Mus musculus: one gene and its partner. The protein of the gene in region 1 interacts with the protein of each later gene in a biochemical or structural test. Links are inferred from orthologs where the notes say so. Each region holds a gene or a part of one and is shown on either strand. Other genes may lie near its edges.

Region 1 (3,749 bases):
CTTAGCTTTGCCTCTATTATTATCTGTAATATTTTCCTCTAACACTGGTAGAGAAAAGTAGAAGATTCAATCAGGAGACAGGAGAACTTGTCAAGAGTCTAGGTTACATTTAAATGCTTCCCCTCTTGCTCTTACATTGATATTCTAAAGTTAATTTCACCAACAACTTATGATGCAGTTTTGCAAAATGCCAGGAAAACTGATGTCAATAAAGAACAAGTAAATCATGTCTCCACTCCCAAAAAGTTGTCTTGAATTTTGCCAAGATAAGGCCATTTTGCAAACATATCAAATTATTCATATTCAGTCTATCGGTGAGTTTTAAAACATCTGGCAAAGGTGTTCTACAGAGGTTTCTGGTTGCTAGTCTATGCCTTTATGCGCCTGAGACTTTCACACATGTGTGACATTCCTTAAAAAAAAAAAAAAAAACCTGCGATGGATGGCCAGTGAGCCAGCTGCTGGCAAACCCAAACCATGACAGAAGAAAAAAAAAAAAAAAAAATCACCACCTTCGGGCTACCGGAGTTACGCCGTGATGCTCTATGTGCATCTTGCTTCAATTAATTTCAAAATAGCGCTTTCATTAAGAGGGAAGCAGTATAAAGTTAAGAAGGAAACATCAAATGGAAAAGCAAATGCTGATGAGCTTAAGTGATGGTTCGAGAAAAGCGCCTGAATCTCGATCCTCGGGACTCTAAAAGCTGTCCTCTGACCTCCACTCGCAAGTCGCGGCTCGCGCCACTGCCCCCACCATGCTTTAAAAAAAAATGTTTTTTCTTTTAATTTAAGAAAAGGTAATCTTGAAAGTTCCTATTTCTAAAATTAAGTGTTCGTTGGCTATCTCCCAGACGATCTGGTGGTGGCTTAAGAGCGGAAGAATCTACCCGGTCCTCGGAGGCGTGCGCGCTGCGCCCCGAGGATGAATGAATGGAAAGCCCGGCGCGTGTGAAATGCAGGTCTCCGGCCAGCCGACCCGCGGCGGCGATCTGTAGGCCTCGCTCCTCCCCCTTCCCTCCTCCATGACAGCCCCGTCCCGGCGTGGAGGGGCCAGGACAATGTGATCCCCACCTCAGCCGGCCCCTGTCCCCGGCGCCGGGAGGTGCGCGACACGACCCCTGAGCATGCTCCCCTACTCAACGCCACGGCCCCCGGCTCCCCGCGGGACGCGCCCGCCCAGCTCCCGCGCGCCCACCGGTGGGCTCCGCCAGCCCACCCTCCTCCGCAGCTCCAGAGCGCGGCCCGCACGAGGACCCCCGGCGGCGGGTCGCCGGCGACGGCGAGGCGCCGCTGCCTCGGGCTCCCTCTCCGGCTCTCTCGGGCCGGCTCGCCGCCCACCAGCCACGGTGCCCGCTAGGAGCCGCCCGCCCCACGCCCCCCCGAGACCCCGGGACCCCACGCCGATCCCCGCGCCCGTGTCCCGAGCCGCCCTCCGCCCGCCGCATCGCGGCCCCGCGCGGCGCCCCTCCCCCCACCGCCCCGGTGCCCGGGCCCCCACACGGCGTGTGCGCTCCACGCTGCCGCCGCCAGCCTCCCGGCGCCGAGGCTGCCCGCCGAAGGTCAGGCCGGGGGCGGGCAGGGACCGGACGCGGCGGGAGGCGCCGTGCGCGCCGGTAACGCCGTCCTGCGGGAGTCCCTGAGCGGAGGAAGCCGGAGCGCGGGGAGCTCGGGGGTGGGGGCCGAAGGCAATACTCACCGGTTCCACAGTCGCCATCTTAGATCGATCTGATCGCACAACCGCTCCTGAAGGGGGGGCGAGAGGAAAAAAATGAGATTCAAACCGGATTGGCCGGCTCCTGCCCACGTGACGGACGTGTCCGTTTGGCCCTAGCGGCGCCTGCGCAAGACTGCAGCTGCTTGGGGAAGGAGAGGCTTCTGGGAAGTGGAGTCTTTTTTTTTTTTTTTTTTTTTTTTTTTCTTAAGGCAAGAAGTTTTTTTTTTTCTTCCAAAAAAAAAAAAAGTGATCACGTGGTCGCTGGCGAGGGTGCGTGGCTCCCGGCGCCGCGGGCGCTTCCTGCCGAGTTGGATTTAGGCCTCTGCTGGGCAGCGGGCAGAGCTCCGGTTGCACTCACTGCGGGGCATTCCTGCTGTGCCTTCTGTCGCCCAGTCCTCCCATCTTTCCTAGAAGGTTGAGAACTGCAGGCTCAGCACACGCAAGAAGGCTTCATTTGCTTAGCTGAGGTCCTAAGACAAGTTGCTTTTTATTTAGTTTTTCTTTTCGCCTCCCACCATTTTCTCTTGGTTTCTGAAAGAGGCGGCGATGGAGAGTCGTTGATGTGGTCTGCGTCTCCCCAGTCCCCGGTCCACTAACGCGGGTGGTCCCTTGCTACCATCGCTGCCCAAGCGGGTGGGCGGGCTTGCCCCACGGTACCCTCTCACTCGTTTGGGGAAGGGGAGTGCACGCGTCGGCTTTTCCTGTTCCCAGTCCTGAGATGAAGGCGTCAGGGGTGAATCTTGCTGGACGTGAAAGTTTGGAAGTTCTGTCCAATCGGTTCCAGTATTCTGCTTGGACGTGGACGGAAATAGCCTACGTCCAGGTGCCAGCCAGGGAAGCCACTCGGGGCTCCGCTGACTCAGCCCTGGACTGAAGGTCAGGAGTCGTTAAACCGGGTCAACTATGACTCTTGACGTTGACTCATACTCCTTAGGCGAGTGACTTAATACGCTCAGTGCCTCAACTTTTTCATTTATGAACCAAAGATGATAATACACTTACCTCACAAGGGTGTGCTGTGGTAAGGACTGTAACCAGCTTTGAAAACGCTTCGGAATCTAGAAGCAAGCGCGTGCCTTCCTTAAGGACCAGCTCCCTCCGCCTCCGCTGCTGTTTTAGCAATCTTGCTTCTTGACCCTGGGTCTTTTGAAGCGCAGGATGGCCTTGAACTTGAGGTATAGGGGAGGATGGCCTTGAACTGTCGATCCTCCTGCTTCCACCTCCCCCCCACAAAGTATCGGGATTACTGGCGCGTGCTGGGCGTGGGGGTGGGTTGGGAGAGCACTTTTTTGCTGAGATAGGGATGGAACTCAGGGCTTCCTGAGCGCTAGGCAAGCACTCTACCAACTGAGCTATATCCCCAAGCCTTAACAGTGTCTTAAAATTTTCTTTTCTTTACTTTGTTGCGTACACCGATGCAGTTTTAAAGGGAATGTAGCTGCTCTCAACAGAAACTTCGTGTTCATGAACTTATGTTCATAACAACTAACAAACAGAACTGGCATGCTACATTTTCTTCTAAGTTACCAGGCCGTCAAAGCACTGTTGGGTAAAGTTCCTAATGAGGGAGCCAGGATCTCATGGCTTCCACGCAGCTTAAAAATGTTACCGCCAGGAAAAGCAGTGTAAGCAGGCTATCTCGTGTCTGCCTCTCCATGGCATTGCTGTTGTCCAGAGCTGTGTCATAGCTATTATTGAGTACATAATGGATGCTTGGGTTGACTAACACATAATTGAGGCTGTGTAAGAACTCAAAGCCAGTGCCTGCTCGTGTTTTTGTTTACCAGGATGGCAGAAGTGATTTTAAACGAAAGCTTCTGTTTAAGTTGGCGTGAGTAGATTCTCAAGTAGACATAGCTCTATGAACTAAACACATAGGTGAATTTCTATGTACAAATCTGTTAACACTAACCAAAGTAATTATAATTGACCCCTTATTTTCTGTTGTCTGTAAAGTGATGTCTGGTTAATTTCTATGAGAAGACAGCATTAGGGTGCTGAGTTGTAGCTCAGTTGATAGAGTGTTCATCCAGCC
Region 2 (3,649 bases), on another chromosome or scaffold:
TTTTTTTCTGATTATTCATGTACAACAGAAGGCACTGTTATCTGCATAAATCCACTGATTCTTCATGGCAAAAACCTGAGACATGCGCCGATACACAACTCTAACCCCTCAGCGTTCAGCCTTAAGAGCAGACGCTTTGTCCTTTCCAATCAATGACTCTGCTTTTTTCAAAATTTCGTACGTTACAGTAGCTGTTAAAAATATATATACTCCAGGGTAAGAAGGGTCAAGGAAGGGAGAGCAGGCCCGTGGCCGCCTGATGCCAATGACACAGCCTCTTATTGCCTTCTTGGCCCTCAACCCATGTACTAAGCAGCAGCGGTGACGCCGATCGGTGAACGGTGGATGCGCCTTCCAGTTGTTGCTGGGCACGACTCCAAAATTAAACGTGGAGAAGATGCTCTTGTCCTCAAATGTGAAACTGCCCTGCTATTAGGGGGAAAAAAAAAAAGTGAGGAGGGAAGACATGAAAGATTGCTTCAGGTGAAAGTACTGAAAGTAACTTTAAAGAACCAGCCTTTTATGATAGTAGGCTGCTTTGTTTTGTTCCAGGCAGGGCCTCATGTAGCTCAGACTGACCTCTAACTTGCTATCCAACTGAGGATGGCCTTGATTCCTGATTGTCCTGCCTCCACACAACCAAGTGCTAGGATTACAGACACCATCCTCCCCTCCCAGGCCTGCCTCTTTTTATGTATTTAAAACTTGAGAAGAGCTTGATTCCTGGTATTAGTTTGCCACCTAACTAAAGCCCATTTGCTAGCATAAGAGAAGTGTAAACAGTTCTATAGCTGCAAGCCAACAGCTACAGGCTACACTCCTCACAGTTGCTAACAAAAGATGCATCACTCCTCTCCCCCACGCCCTGATCCAGAACCGTCCTCACCCAAAACTCCCCAGGTCTCCCATTGAAATACTTTGTAAGCACAAAATCTTTCCCATTAACAACCCAAGGGTAAGCCCGAAATCCTAACATTAAACAATTTCTCCTTCTTAAAAACTGAAAATTAACAGTCACCAACACATGAATCCCAAACAAATACAAATGAGAATTTGCTCTGGTTTAGGTCAGAAATGTCCCCTGAAGTCCACATGCTGAACACATGGTTCCAAGCCTATGGAACTACTGGGAGGTAGAACCTTTAAGAGGTGAGGTGCCACTGGAGGAAGTGAGGTTATTGGGTGTGCTTTTTTAAAGATTTATTTTTATCCTTTGTGTGTGTGTGCGCGCACATATACACGTTTATGCACCTGTGTGAGAGGGGCTTATGCCACATGTGTGCAGGTGCCCAAGAAGCCAGAAAAGGGCATCAAAAAAGGAAACTGGAGCTACAGGTAGTTGTAAGCCATCTGATGTGGGTGCTGGTAACCTAACCCAGATTCTCTGCAAGAATAGCAATAACTCTTGATTGTTGAGCTCCTTTCTCTGGCCTCATGGGGTGTGCTTTTGAAGGAGATTCTAGGACCCCAACCCCATCTCCATTCTGCTTCCTAGGTCTCTTGAACCGAGTTACTTTCCTCTACTTCACACTCCTCCCATAAGGTGCTACCTCACCAGAGACCCAAAGGCAAGGGGACCAAGTGGCCAGGGGCTGAAACCAAGAGCCAAAATAAAATCTTCCTCCTCATAAGTTGATTTCCTTAGGTACATACATTGATAGTAAACTGATTAATGTGGCCTTTCATTTTCAGGAATACAAGCTCCTTGTAAGATCTACTGAATGCTTTTAGTTCATGTGTGGTTGAGATGTTAGGTTCTCAACAAGACCTGTCCCAACCCTTTCTTCTCCAAAACATCAGGAGGATGTGAATGGGGAACACACTAACCCTTACCTGTGAAATGGTATTGACAGAGCTACTGTGATTTAAAACAAACAAACAACAAAGCATCAAACTAGGCCTAGTGGCACAGGGACATCCGATAATCCCAGCTACTCGGGAGGGTGAAGCAGGAGGGATCACAGGTCCACAGTTTATGCTACGTTTGAGGCTAGACTAGCCAACTTTGCAACATCTCTTAAAAGGAAAACAGGTAGGCATCGTGGCACACACCTGTAATCTGAGCCCTCAGGAGGGTTGAAGCAGAAGGATAGTTGAGTTTGAAGTTAGCTTAGGGTACACAGTGAGTTCCAGGCCAGCTACAAAGTGAAAACCTGTCTCCAGAGACAAAGAGGGGGTAGGAGGAGGAAGACGAGAAGGAGGGATAGGAGGGGATGGAAGAGGAAGAAGAAGAGGAGAAAGAGGAGAAGGACTAGGATTGTAGCTCACCAGCTCACTAGTAGATTATTTGTTCAGCATATACAACGCTGAGTTCAAACCCCAGCATCTCAAGTAGAGAGGAAGAACAACCGTTCAGCCCAGGAATAGCAAAGTAGTAACTCTAGCGCATACAGATAAAAATAAATTAAGAGGATTATGAGTTCAGGCCAGCCTAGCTACATGGCAAAACCCTGTCTTAAACACAAAACAAGCCCAGCTATATGACAGTGGAACTCTTCATTATCATGAAGGGCTCATTTCATGAAGCCATTTTAATCACGTAAGCCAGATGGTGGCCCTCGGACACACAACTCCAATATGGAAAGGACTGGCTGACCTGCCAGTGTCCTTCGGTGCTCTGCCAACGTGTACACCTCCTGCAGCTTTCTTTTCTGATCCTCACTGAGTGGTGCCACCAGCAGCTGGTACCAGGCAGCATCCCGATTCTGCACAGCTACAGCATTACAGGGGGGTTGGAGGAGAAAAGGTAAGAGAGCCAATGACCATTATTATCTCAGGAAAGGTAAGCAGCATGACCAAATCACATGAGATTATGTCAGACAGTAAGAGGCAGGATCATGAGTCTGATCCCAACAGTCATTTCCGAGGGCCTACTTGATACCCAACTATGAGGAGCCCCAAGGAAAGTCACTTTCACAAATCAGTGGTTTCCCCAATTCTAGAATATTCTATTCTATTCTTTTTCTATCTTCTTCTGGAAGTTTTCCCAACTATTCCCTAAAAATCTGACACAGGGAAACATCAGGGCTTCCTTGTTACCATCCTCCTTGGACTCTGCATACTGTCTTCCACACCAGCTCTGTTTCTGCACTGAGGACCCAAGTCTGCACCCTTGCACAAAATCCTTCCCTTCTCTTCCCAGACTTTTCCAGATAAATACTTCAAATTTAGCACAACTATAGAGCAAAGTTTAACGTTTTCCTTCTAAATGCTCACAATTCCCCATTTCTCTCACTAGCTCTATTGGCCTCTCAGGAAACCACTACAGACCTTTCACATCTGTAACCATGCCCAGCCCACATCCAGTGCTCTGCCAGTCTCTTAAAGCCTCTGCCTACATACCTCCCCTATCCAGTTCCATACTGTAATTCTGATCTAACAACCTCACATTGCCTGTGTTCCTCAAGATTATGCACTTTGCACCTAATAATCCCAGAAGTAAACCACCGTATCATGTTAACAGCTTTTAGAAAATCACTCCACTCTGCACTGGACAAAGGGCCTAGATCCAAGGCAGCCACTCTCAGTCCTGCCCTCCTTCCTAGGGACTTCTCAGAGGCTTTTTTTTCCCGGTGGTCTGTCCAAGCTTGTCTAAAGATGGCCTTCTGTCTACAGAGGAGCTTCTAAACTGTTGTGCATACTTAGGTTA

What was found.
Region 2: the proteins of Eif4e (region 1) and Ipo8 form a complex in vitro, tested with the Homo sapiens proteins (2 studies listed by BioGRID and IntAct, with this or other methods). The link is inferred for Mus musculus from reciprocal best matches to the Homo sapiens genes EIF4E and IPO8.

The regions. Positions count from the first base shown.
Region 1 is NC_000069.6:138,525,262-138,529,010, reverse strand, and holds the start of Eif4e (eukaryotic translation initiation factor 4E), read right to left. Parts: upstream 2,821-3,749; 5' UTR 2,717-2,820; intron 2,591-2,716; exon of another isoform or gene 2,526-2,590; intron 2,092-2,525; exon of another isoform or gene 2,083-2,091; coding exon of another isoform or gene 2,073-2,082; intron 1,744-2,072; coding exon of another isoform or gene 1,715-1,743; coding exon 1,697-1,714; intron 647-1,696; exon of another isoform or gene 1-646. UniProt on the Homo sapiens protein: Acts in the cytoplasm to initiate and regulate protein synthesis and is required in the nucleus for export of a subset of mRNAs from the nucleus to the cytoplasm which promotes processes such as RNA capping, processing and splicing.
Region 2 is NC_000072.6:148,772,381-148,776,029, forward strand, and holds part of Ipo8 (importin-8), read right to left. Parts: intron 2,714-3,649; coding exon 2,597-2,713; coding exon of another isoform or gene 2,589-2,596; intron 1,784-2,588; coding exon of another isoform or gene 1,769-1,783; intron 430-1,768; coding exon 410-429; coding exon of another isoform or gene 109-409; 3' UTR 1-108. UniProt on the Homo sapiens protein: Involved in nuclear protein import, either by acting as autonomous nuclear transport receptor or as an adapter-like protein in association with the importin-beta subunit KPNB1.